3 linked regions of the Mus musculus genome follow. The protein of the gene in region 1 interacts with the protein of each later gene in a biochemical or structural test. Links are inferred from orthologs where the notes say so. Each region holds a gene or a part of one and is shown in the gene's direction. Other genes may lie near its edges.

The links. The genes of interacting proteins can lie anywhere in the genome.
Region 2: of the proteins of H3f4 (region 1) and Setd7, one has a biochemical effect on the other in vitro, tested with the Homo sapiens proteins (2 studies listed by BioGRID). The link is inferred for Mus musculus from reciprocal best matches to the Homo sapiens genes H3-4 and SETD7.
Region 3: the proteins of H3f4 (region 1) and Cbx5 interact in a test that uses a peptide from one of them, tested with the Homo sapiens proteins (5 studies listed by BioGRID, with this or other methods). The link is inferred for Mus musculus from reciprocal best matches to the Homo sapiens genes H3-4 and CBX5.

What each region holds. Positions count from the first base shown.
Region 1 is NC_000077.6:58,960,192-58,963,044, forward strand, and holds H3f4 (predicted gene 12260), read left to right. Parts: upstream 1-1,519; 5' UTR 1,520-1,620; coding exon 1,621-2,031; 3' UTR 2,032-2,082; downstream 2,083-2,853. UniProt on the Homo sapiens protein: Core component of nucleosome. Nucleosomes wrap and compact DNA into chromatin, limiting DNA accessibility to the cellular machineries which require DNA as a template.
Region 2 is NC_000069.6:51,557,622-51,562,409, reverse strand, and holds the start of Setd7 (histone-lysine N-methyltransferase SETD7), read left to right. Parts: upstream 1-1,586; 5' UTR 1,587-1,852; coding exon 1,853-1,892; intron 1,893-2,201; exon of another isoform or gene 2,202-2,425; intron 2,426-4,788. UniProt on the Homo sapiens protein: Histone methyltransferase that specifically monomethylates 'Lys-4' of histone H3. H3 'Lys-4' methylation represents a specific tag for epigenetic transcriptional activation.
Region 3 is NC_000081.6:103,236,651-103,241,441, reverse strand, and holds the start of Cbx5 (chromobox protein homolog 5), read left to right. Parts: upstream 1-1,589; 5' UTR 1,590-1,709; intron 1,710-4,791. Other genes in the region: Hnrnpa1 (heterogeneous nuclear ribonucleoprotein A1), read right to left, coding at 246-362, 914-928. UniProt on the Homo sapiens protein: Component of heterochromatin that recognizes and binds histone H3 tails methylated at 'Lys-9' (H3K9me), leading to epigenetic repression. In contrast, it is excluded from chromatin when 'Tyr-41' of histone H3 is phosphorylated (H3Y41ph).

The sequences.
Region 1 (2,853 bases):
GTGTGTCGCCGATGTCTCACAGGGTCGTACATTCCCAGAGGCAAGAGTTTCGGTTCTTTCTGAACGTGAAGCTATTTTCCCTGTCACTGTATCCATAAGCTGGCACTAGAGAGTGGCGCGGGCCGGGACGTCCCGGTTCCTGGGCACCACCAATGGACGACCCACGTCCTCCGGTTGGCGTAGCGCCTACCCGCGACCGCACACCGCAGGCACGGGCTCGGGATTCCCCGCTTTGGCGTTCACCGGCGTCAGTTTAAACTACACATACACGTTTGGAAGCAAAACACCATGATTGTCAGTGAGTTCTATTTTTTAACCAAATCCGTAAAGATGCACCACAGTTTGATTTCTATCCTTTTCTGGACTCACGTTTTTTGAAATTATGTGGACGACATTTCTCATCCTCTGACGTGATCTAAATAATCATTATTACTATTGTTTGATACCCTGATTGTGACCTTTGGGGGAATCCTTGAATACAGCCCATGTTATCCTTGAAAGCCTTTGCTTCAGAAATCCTTTTTTTTTTTTTTTTCCTAATTTTCTTTCAGATCTAAAGATGTTTTATTTTGTTTGATAAAGCGTCATTTCAGTGTACTCTAAGCCTCAAAATTATTATCCTTCTGATTCAGCTACCGAGTACTGAAGTTATAAGCATGGACTACTGTTCTTTGAGTCATATCTTCTAGTTTTTTTTTTTTTTTAATTAACGTACGTTAACTGTGCTTAGTAATGGGTTTCATTTTGATAACTTCACACACACACACACACACACACACACACACACACACACACACACACCAGCTCTCCCCTTTTTTTCCTCTTCCCTCTGGTCCCTTTCTCTCTATAAATACCACCCCGACCCCATTTTTATGCTTTTTTTTTTTTTTTTTTTTTAATCTAGCTTCCACATGCTAGAGAACCCATGCCATGCTTTTCTTCCTGCCTGGATCCAGCTTACTTAACACTGTGATCTTGAGTTCTTTCCATTGTTCCAGCAAACGACACAATTTCTTTTCGTTTTTCTCTTTATTTTTTTCCATCTCTACCCCTCCCTATTTTTAAAAAATAGTGTTAATACTATGTAGCCCTGGCTAACCTCAAACACACAGATATCCACCATCCTTTGCCTCCCGAGTCCTGGAATTAAGCTTAACTGCTGAGCTACCTCCAGCCCTCGCCCCCAGGGGCGTCCTCAGACCAGGTGGATGTTTTTTTAGTATTCCAGAACTCAGGAAAACTATGCCTCGTTGTTATATAAAGGAAGCATGCAGAAAGGTTCTAGAAGGTTCTTTGTGTCTTGGGAGTCGAGGCAAGATTGTTTTGTTTTTTTATTTAACAACAACAATAAAAGCTCCAAGAAAGCGACTTGAGTTTTTTCCACAGACCCCGCTGCCCTCCTACCGAGCCGCAACTAACAGTTCCAGAGTCCACACCACTCAGAGAGAATATAAGAGGCAGGGTGTAAAGTCAATCCCCCAATGGACCAATCAGAGTGCAGCATCCCATAATGCCACCTGGTGGGCAGCCAATAGGAATGTAGCTGGGTCTATAAAAGCAGTGCTACTCGCCCCCCACATTGTGCACCTGAGGAGCAAGGGAGGCGGACGATTCAGGAAGATGGCACGCACCAAGCAGACGGCACGGAAGTCGACGGGAGGCAAGGCTCCGCGCAAGCAGCTAGCCACGAAGGTGGCCCGCAAGAGCGCCCCGGCCACCGGGGGCGTGAAGAAGCCGCACCGCTACCACCCTGGCACGGTGGCGCTGCGCGAGATCCGGCGCTACCAGAAGTCCACCGAGCTGCTGATTCGCAAGTTGCCATTCCAGCGCTTGGTGCGTGAGATCGCCCAGGACTTCAAGACCGACCTGCGCTTCCAGAGCTCCGCGGTGATGGCGCTGCAGGAGGCCTGCGAGTCGTACCTCGTGGGGCTGTTCGAAGACACGAACCTGTGCGCTATCCACGCCAAGCGGGTGACCATCATGCCCAAAGACATCCAGTTGGCTCGGCGCATCCGCGGAGAACGGGCTTAGGCTCCCACAGGCACCGCTCATGAACCCAACGGCTCTTTTCAGAGCCACCCACAGAGTCAGAAAAAGTGTCTGTAACGTAGACTTAGGTGTCCTGTCTCCTCAGGAGGTGAAGACAAGGTGGCCGGCAATCGAAGTGTCTCCCCAGATCAGTCTAGAGGGCTTAGCAGCTAATCCTTGCCCATTGAGCTATTTGACTTGCAGCTCCGTCCTATTCTAACCTGCCTTCCCTTGATAGGTATAGTGGCCTGAGCCCTTGTACTACAAGATGATGGTTGTGTTGCTGACTGGTTTTACCAAGTGAAGGTAGCTCCTACCGGCAGTAAACGTGCTATGTTTGCATAGTTGATAGTATCCAAACGCATCTGCTCAGTAACCAAGTTACTTATGTTTTGTGTTTTAAGGCTCATAATGCCTGGTATTAAAAAGGCTAGCTATTCCTGTACTTGAAAAGTTGGCCTTTCTCCTGATGGAAAGCCCAGTGAACTGCCTTTGATTAAAGTTAATTTTGCCCATCTGTTAACGGCGGCAGCAAAAGAGTCAGGAAAGTGTTAACTTACATATTTCCAGGGGACACATCCAGAGAATCCTGTCTTAAACGATTCCTGTAGGGTACGAAAGTCTAGCTGTTGTCTTGACTCAACCTGAGTTGTAAGCAATAGGAACCTCTCTTATCAAAAGGATGTTTTGCGCTGGAGTTTAATTCTCTGAGCCTTGGTTTTTCATACTGTCCAGTACTGTATGACTTCTGAGCCATACAAAAAGGGTGGTGTTCAGAGATGACCGGCATGGAGACTAACCGGCTTGATCAGAAATCAAACTGGG
Region 2 (4,788 bases), on another chromosome or scaffold:
GAACTCACTCTATACACCAAACAGGCTGGCCTTGAACTCGGAGATCTACCTGCCTCTGCCTCCCTAGTGCAGCGATTAATACCACCATGCCCTGTTTCTTTTACTTTTTTTTTTTTTCTGGCTGACATATATCAGCCAGTGGGGGTGCAGCTCATTTGGTGGAGAGCTTGCTTTTCTAGCATGGAAAAGTCTGGATTGTATCTCCAGTACTATAAATTCAGCATGCTGCCAAGGTTTGTAATTACGGGGCTGTGAAGATAGAGGCGGGATGATTAGCTCAAAATCGTCTTCCTGTATACAGTGAGTTAGAGGTGAGAGACCGGGCTACAGGAGATCCTGCCTTAAATAAAAAAGAAAAAGAAAATGAAAAAAAAAAGGCATTTAAGAAATTAAGGAGGGGGGGGACTCTCTCAGGCTTTGGAAGTGACTTGAAATCCTGCCTCATTTATTGTTCAGAAAACGAAAAGGAACAACTTTCTTTGGTTCCTGCCCCATCCTTCCCACCCGCCACGATGACTGTTCTTGGCAGAAGGCCAGACCAGCACCGGGTAATTCCACAGTACATTGGGTACATGCGCATGCATTTAACCCGCTATTTAAAGAGATCCTTTGCTGCCACCTGTAAGAGGACATAATGACACTCTTTAAGTGGCTGGGCTGGGAAGGGAGTTTTCTTCCCTCAAAGATGCCTGAGTCTGTGAAGTGGTTGGCACTTGGAGAAACTAAAGAAACATCTAGGGACATCACAAATACAGGACCGGAGGCGAGAGAAGGAGGAGCGCTAGACACAGGGTCCTGGCTCCGGCTCTCCGCTTGGTGGCTCCATCTTCAAGACAAGGAGAAGGAATCGGCCAAAGCTCGGGTGCGGCCTGATTACCAGCCTGCTGCCATTTGGGTTTGCTGAATTCCTGGATCTCTCTAGGGGCCTGGAGATGCGAAAGAAGATGGAGACTGGGGACTCCTGGGTAGGACGTTCAGTCGGGAGGAATCCAGGACGCAGGACGCCCCCTGGAGTCGAGGGAACTGGCTTGTGGAGGCAGCGCTGGGCAGTGGAAGGGGGACGGGGCACCTGCGCTCCTGGGCCCGCCGCACTTTGCAACTCTGGGCAGTAGCGAGCCGAGTGAAGTGGGGCTCGAGGGCAAGAGGAAGTAGAAGCTCAGGAACCAAAGGCTTCCTTAGTTCCGAGTGCGCTCCAGCTGTCCAGGAGTGAGATAGTGGTAGGAACACCCAGCATGACGCACTTCCAAGTCCCTGGTGGCACATCGTGGGGTATCAGGTGCTCTGAGCCCCTCACCCACCCCAGGCGGGTACCCTCGAGGCCCCCGGCGCTAGCGAACAGCCGGCGGCGACCTGGACCGCGTGGCTGGCGAACAGTGAACCAAGCCAAAAGGTAAACGCCGCCTGGTCTGCCCACTGCCTGGTCTTAAGAGGCGGCGCAGCTCCGGAGCACCTTGGGTTCTAAGGATCCTCACTTCTGGGAAAGGACAGGGAACTGTCAATCAACGAGGGAGGGAGCGCACCGGCGCCGGGTGATGTCAGCGGATCAGCTGCTCCATAACAAAGAGGGGGTATCACAGGAGAAAGTTGCAGTGGCGGCAGCACCCCAGAGCCTCCGGGACCGGGGACGAGAGGAGAGGGGGCGGCGGCTGCGGCTGCCGCGGCTGGCGGAGGAATTGAAAGGACTGTAGGGGGAGGCAGCGCGAGCCGCCCCGACTGCTCCTCCTCTTCCTCCCCCTCCTCCCCCTCCTCCAAACTCGCAGGGCTTAGCTCCAGCGCTCGCTCAGCCACCAGGAGCACCCAGAGGGACGGGAGCCGGCCGCACGGCCCCGGGCTGGGTAGGGTCTCAGCCGCCATGGATAGCGACGATGAGGTGGTGGAGGAAGCCGTGGAAGGTACAAGCTTTTCTCCAGGACTCTGGGGTGGGGACAGGCGCCTGGGGCGGAAAGCGCCAAAAGAGTGGCGGTCTGCGACGCGCGCCGGGCCGAGCCGAAGGCCGCCGCGGTCCCTAAGCGGATGGCGGGTCGCTCGGCTCAGGCGGGGGCTGCACTGCCTACGCCACGCCGCCGGGAGCGTGCGGGGCGCGGCGGGGCAGGGGCGGGGAATGGGGCCCCGCGGGGTCCGCCGCCCTGGGAAAGCTGGGCCCCTGCATCCCGCCTGGCCTCGGCAGCATCCTCCCTGGGAGTTGCGACGCTGCCTAGCACCTTGGCCTTAGTCCTTGCGGGGATGGAGGATGGGAGGGCAGTCCCTTGAGGCCCGCGATCTCCGCGGGGCAGCGTTGTTTCAGCCACCTCGACTTCCCCTCTCCGACCGCCTGCCCTTTTCCTGACTGAGTCGCTGCGTCCCATGGCCACCAGGGCCGGGTCTAGGTGGGTCTCCCATCGCAACGCACCCGGCCGCACACCAGGCACATGGCGGCCCTGGCCGCTCCTCCGGGGTAAAAAAAAAAAAAAAAAAAAAAAAAAAAAAAAAGATGAAATCATGGCTAGGTAGAGCACGCCGCTCCCCACCAGGCTACCCTGCCCCTGGGCGAACTCAGCCACCCGCCCTTCCCCCTCCCGGCTTCCCAGCGAGGTGCAGGCGCGCCGTGCGGACGCTCCAGCCGGGACCCAAATTGCTGGGTGACACTTAACTTTCTGAATTCCGAGCTGTCGGCTGCCGGTGATATCACCGCCTGGGTGTCAGGTTTCTCCGCCCCCTCTTGCGCACCCCTCCCCCGACTCCCGTCGCCACCGTGTTTTGCTGAGTTTCTCCGCCTCTTTTTTTTTTTTTTTTTTCTTTTTTGCCCCCCTACTTATAAAACGTCCGTGGCGACGTTATACAATCTCGTTGTTTGTGGCTTGAGAGGTTATGATTTTGTAACAACGAACACTGGAAAACACTCTTAAGCGTATTTATTATTTATCTTATTCTATCCCAGATAGTGTTCCCGTGATGTTTTTGCAAGATTGCGTAGTGTTGTTCCAGAATTTGTTAAACACAGCAACTGACTAATTTTAAGTCGGTGGTTGAATCTGGTTTTGATCTCATTTGTATAAACAGGTCTGACAAACGATAAAGAAAAAGTGGCTGTGCTTAACAAATGCATATGGATATGTACTTGTTAGTGCTACGTGGGGAGAAATCTCTTTGGTGTGTCCATAAATACAACTTTTGCAGACTGCTGAAGGCTTAGGGTGAGATGAAGCAGAATAATTTTTTGAATTTCCGGAAAGGCATCCATTCTAATTTACTTTGTAAAATGTATTTCTTCATTTTAGTTTTTGTTTTGTTTGTTTGTTTTTTTTTTAACAACTTTTAAGTACATAGTTTTGCTTGTAACTTTTGGAGAGACTAAAATGCGGATCCACAGAGCTTACATTTCTCTAAATAAACCCAGTGTTGGGATTAATGAGGCCCAGCTAGCATTGTTTGAGCCAATCATAGGAAGCCTTCTTTAACTTCCAAAGTTATTGACTTCTTGTAAATTTCTGCTATGACAGAAAAAGTGTTCTTAACAAAGTGCCACTGTCGCTCTCATTCTTCCTGGGGTTTTTTTGCCCTAAACAGTATTTTTTAGGTTTGTTTGTGTTGTTGTTGATGATGGTGATTTTTTTATTCTTTAATGTCATGCGCAGTGGTGTTTCTGTTTGCATGTATGTCAGCGTGAGGATGTCATATTCCCTGGAACTGATGTTACAGACAGTTGTGAGCTTCCATGTGGGTACTGGGAATTCTTCCCAGGTTTTATGGAAGAGCAGCCGGGGCTCTTAACCACTCAGCCATCTCTCCAGCCCCTCCTCCTGTTCTTTTACTTGCAATTTTTAAAAACAAACCCTTAAGCACAGATAGTGCCCCCAGCCCAAGCCACCTTCTCCAGGGCTGATGTTTAGAAAATGTGCTCTGTTGTTTATGATCCTAGCACTGGCATGTGAACAAAAACCAGGCCCGTGGCATACACACCTGCAGGTGGAGGCGGAGGCAGGAGCATCAGGAGGTCAAGGTCACCCTCGGCTGCATAGCAAGTCCAAACCCAGCCTGAACTATAAGACCCTGTCTCAAAATGATAAGAAATGTTTAAAGTATATTTTCAGGTTTCATGTTAGTCCAGTAGATTCAAAACACTGCAGTTTCTTTACCTTAACTGTAGGGGTGGTGAGGGGGGGGGCTTTTATATAGGATGGACAGATATAGCACTACTATAAATCAGCTCATTAGAGCAAGAAAGGCACCATTAATAATTATGCTATGACAGCTGGCTTAAACGCTGGCTTGTCTTGGGCAGTCACTCAGTTTTACCTAAGAGTAAACAAGTAGAGGAACTTCCTTGTTTTGCTTTTTTGCAGATTTTTGTTTTTGTGGATCTGTGAAACACGATCTCTGTGGCCCAGGCTGGCTTTGATATGATGTGCTGCCATTACAGATGTGATATCTATTCCTGGATTTTTAAAAGAACAACAACAAGACTCACTCTCTCTCTCTCTCTCTCTCTCTCTCTCTCTCTCTCTTTCTTCCTTCCCTTGTTTCCTTTGCTGTGTTGGGCAAACAATATACCACGGAGCTACATACTCTAGCCCAAGAGTGACTTAGTATTCTAAAGTCCTTAGAAAAGCCAGGTATAGTGGGGCATATATGTTATCCCAGTTACATGGGAGGCAGGAGAGAGGATCGTTTTTTAAGACTGGGAGACTGGGAGTTCTAACAGAGCTTGAACCTGTAAAATAGATAGATTCCGTCTCAAAAAAATAAAAAGTGGTAGAGAGATGGCTTGGTGCCTGCTCTCGAAGAGGACCTGGATTCTGTTCCCAGCAC
Region 3 (4,791 bases), on another chromosome or scaffold:
TTAGAGTTAATTCAATCAATACACTGCCTGATCTCAGAATCAAAAGCCATTCCTAGTCTGATCAAGGCAAACATGAAACTTCAGAGTGGGGGGGTGGAAATGTAAGCTTCTTACAGATCTGAAGAAAGCCCCAGATTTTTTTTTACCATCCCATTAGTTAACTTCACAAAACAATTTAGCTAAGAAGCAGCAGATTAAATCGGAAGAAATAAGCCAGCTCTTCCTTTTGTTTCTTTTAATCTTACCACACAGTCTGTTAGTGTTCCCCATTGCTCAAAATGGCTCCTCAGACTCTCGTCGGTTGTTTCGAAGCTCAGCCCTCCGATGAAGAGCTTCCGCAGCTGTTCTGGCTCCTTGGGAGACTAAAGTGGAGGAGGGAGTGTTTAGCGGAGGGGCTGGAACCTGGGAAAATGAATCAACACCCCGCAACAACACATGCTACACTTTTTTATTGTTCTTTATTACTGCACGAGACCACGTGCTCCTTCCTAGGCTAGGAGGTGCTGCTGGGGATTCACTCGAGTTGCACGCAGCGCATGCGTCCTTACTTTTACTTCATACGCACGCGCAACAAAGGGCACAGGTTAGTCGGGTCCATCCCCATTAAGACTTAATATCTCTTTAACAAGCGATTGTTAGACCAGAATGGGGGAGGGGAAGAAAAGGCCACACTCCCCAGATCATTAGTCTGTGAAGTTTGCCACAAGGAACAGTGCATGGACGTTAATGGCGGTCGGATCGCAGCCTCATGGTGACTATGAGGACAAAATGGCGACCTGCATTTTTTTAAAGTAGGCCTCAGCACTAATCGATAAAACACCGAAACCACGGGTGCGAGCAGCAAAACACGTCACATCCCGCTATATTCAGTAAGTGTGGAAGAAAGAGAAGCTGCAAAGCGCATCCAACTTACCTCGGACTTAGACATGACGGTAGAGTTACGAGAGCCTTCAGCGATGCTTCCTCGGCAGCGTCAAAGAGCAGAAAGGAATACGATAACGAACGTGCCCGCCAGCCTACCTTCTGCTCGCCCTTTTATCCCGCCTCCTCGCTCTCGGTATTGGTAGACTCCGCCCTTACTTGAGTCTTATTGGAGATTTGAAATTATTCCCTCCCACCATTGGCCCGTGAAGACGCCCTGCTAAGAAACGGCATCCGTTTGGGCGTTCTATTCAGACTCCGCCCCTTTGAGTCACTGATGCCCCAAGGGATCTTATCCTTAATCGCATTGATTGGCTAACTAGCCAGTCACTTATATTTGAATGTATTCACGTCTTTTAAATGCCTTTCATAACTTTCCCACACCCGAACATTACAAACTCACTCGTCAAAGGACCGCACGCTACAAAGTAGCTCACCGCGACTTTTCCCAGCCACTCCCTATAAGGCGCATGTGTAATAAAAATGGCGAGTTCACGCCGGCGCACTACGATGTTCCGCCTGCTGCCTGGAACACGTGAAATGGCGGGCGGGAGAGGGTTGTGAACCTAGGCGCCTGCGTAGTGGCGGGACCAGCGTCCAGTTTTGCGCAGGCGTTTTGGGCGGAGAAAAGGTCCAAGCCCAGGATTGGTTGCGCAGGCGCAGGGAAGGATCCGTTTTGGCGGGCGGTTGGCATTGCGCAGAAGGCGGCGGTAGCGGTGGCTTGTGGTGCCGCTTTACCACAGAGGAACCGTGCAGGCCTTAGCGTGAGTGATCACTTTAGATCTTGGGTAAGTGGCAGAGTCTCGTCTACCCGTACGAGATCTTGAACCCGCTCCCATTGCACCGGTTATTGTACGAAATGAATGGACCGCTGAACTGGTGGGGGGGGGGGTGGACGACGACAGTGAAGGGGCCGCGACGGGTCGGGCCAGCCAATAGGACAACTGGGGCGGGATGTTTTATCCTTGCAGGTTCTGTGAAGCTGCCTTGCCGAAGCATTTGACTGGCGAGCCTATAGGCCAATTGGGTTTTCCTATAGCTGCCTACCGATCGGTCCTTGGGCCATCGGAATGTGGGAGGCGGGTTTTTCTCGCCTGAGTTGCGTCTCTCCGAGCCAATGAGCCCCAAGCGCGCGATTGGCCGGCCTTCCCCAAGAGGCAGAGGCTGGACTCCTGTGGGGAGCGCGGGAGTTGGCTGGTTAAATTCTTAGAGCAAGCCAGGAGTCACTAGAAAGACAGGATTCCCCCCTCCCCCCCCCAATAAAGCTTACTCTTGCATTTGTGGGGGCGAGTATTTTAACTTAAAATGACTCCTATAACTAAGGCATTCATTCTGTATATTACCTTAGGGAAAACATATGTTTTCTTGTGGCCCTTGAGTTAATCATTTTTCTTGTAGTTTTTGGTACGTTCCTCCCTTCACTTGAGACTTTGGAGAACGTGCCTTTAGTCTTTGAAAACTTTTAAGAGAAGAATATTGAAATTTTGAATGAGATGACTTAGGTAAAGTACTTGCAATGAAAAGCATCCAAGAAAAATAGACTTAACCACTAGCACCCATTTCCAGGGACACTGTATTTGTATTTCTATCTCTATGAAAGTTTTTGAGAGTTACATGTCAAAAGTCAAAACGTGTTGCTTCTATGGAAACAGTGGGGCCAAGGCCTGTATGTTTGAGGGATAATTGTCATTGATGAAATAATGAAAACCTTAATAAAAATAGACACATTTGGTTTTTTGTTTGTTTGTTTTGTGTCATCATGTACTTGTCACCACCATTCATGTTCCCAATTCTTTTATCTGAATCTCTTCTCCGAAGAACATTTTTCTCCCCTAACATTCAAGATACTCTAAGCTCCTATTTCTGCTGTTCATTTGAGGATGTCTGGTGTGGGGTGAAAAAGCTGATTCATTTAGGAGGTATTTAGGGTGTTGGGGACAGAAGACTCCACCATATCTTGAGTTGTTATTCATTGTTTTGATTCCATATATTTTTGTATTTTCTCTGCAATTTTGTTGGTGTTGATAATACCCACACTTCTCAGAGTATCTAGACAAATGTATAATTTCCATTTATTATCTGTGTCTGTTGATTTATTTATAGTCTTTGAGGTAGAGGTACCTCATTGTGATAAGAAAATTCCAGCCTGGCGTTAGTGGTCATTGCCTTTAATCCTAGCAGGAAGATGGATATCTGTTTGAGGCCAGCCTCCTGGTCCATGTAGTGAGTTACTTGACAGCCAAAGCATAATCAGACCCTGTCTCAAAAACGAAGAAAAGAAAGAAAAGAAGATAGTTTCATACTTTTTACAAAAGACTGATGATGCCGGGTGGTGGTGGTGCACGTCTTTGATCCCAGCACTCGGGAGGCAGAGGCAGGCGGATTTCTGAGTTTGAGGCCAGCCTGGTCTACAAAGTGAGTTCCAGGACAGCCAGGGCTACACAGAGAAACCCTGTCTCGGGGGGTGGGGGGGGGGGGACGGACGGACTGATGATTTCAATTTAGTTTTCTGTTTTATGTCTCAGGCTGGCCTCACATGAAGAGATCTACCTGTTGGTGCTATCATGCTTGACAGGTTTTTTTTTTTGTTGTTGTTGTTTTTTTTTTTTTTTTTTGGGTTTTTCGAGACAGGGTTTCTAAGTATAGCTCTGGCTGTCCTGGAACTCACTTTGTAGACCAGGCTGGCCTCGAACTCAGAAATCCACCTGCCTCTGCCTCCCAAGTGCTGGGACTAAAGGCGTGTACCACCACCGCCTGGCGCTTGACAGGTTTTAGTGATGTTTCTAATGAATAGAGATTTCCATAGTCACTGGCACTTTAAAAAGGACAAACATATTATACAACCATTAGCTGCTTATTTACACTAACAGTGCAACTTCAGTACTGAGCTCTAAAGTGATAGTGGACTCACGGCATCTACCTAGATATGGTTCAGAATATTTTTTTTTCCTTCCAGACATGGTTTCTCTGTGTAGCCCTCATTCTGTAGACCATGCTAGTCTTGAACTCAGAGATCCGCGAGCCGCTTGTTCTCGAGAGTGCCGGGATTAAAGGCGTGAGCCACACTTGCTCAGTCTCTGCTTTCTTCCTTTCCTTTCAGTGTTTCAGTTTTGTTTTTTTTTTTTCAAATTTTTATTAGGTATTTTCTTCATTTACATTTCAAATGCTATTCTGAAAGTCCCCCATACTTCCCCCCCAGTGTTTCAGTTTTAAAACAATACCAAAAATGTAAAAATGAATAATAAAGTCTTCCTCTAAAAGGGCTAATGCTAGAATTTATCATTTTCAGACATTTAGCAGTTAGCAAAGCATGGAGGAAATGACCGCCCACCACCACAACCACCACCACCTTGTCTTGGAGTACTCTTTAATAAATGGACCATTAATCCTGTTTTTCCTCTGGTATAGATTAGTTTCTGGGTCTTGAGGTTAAAAAGGGAAATTTTACCATTTCTTAGAGAGTGAACATAGGATTATGGCCAACCTGTATGCTTTGTGAGTTTCAGGTCAGCAGGGCCTACTCTGTCTTATAAATGAATAGGACTGATTACATCTTCAGTGTATGTGACTTGTTTTTTAAAAAAAGGCAAGTAAGGGGCTGGGTATGTAGCCCTATCTTAGATGTTCTTAATTTTGTAGCAGATATAGGCCCATCCTGACATTCTTGGGTTTTTTTTTTTATTTTTTTGGACAATGTTTCTCTGTGTATGGGCCTTGGCTGTCCTTCAACTAGCTCTACAGGTTAGGCTGACCTCAAATCCATAGAGATTACCCCTGCCTCTGCCTTCCAGGTGTTGGGATTAAAAATCATGTGTCACCATGCCTGGTGTTGTCATTTTTTTTTTTTCGGAATATTTCAGATTCTGTCTC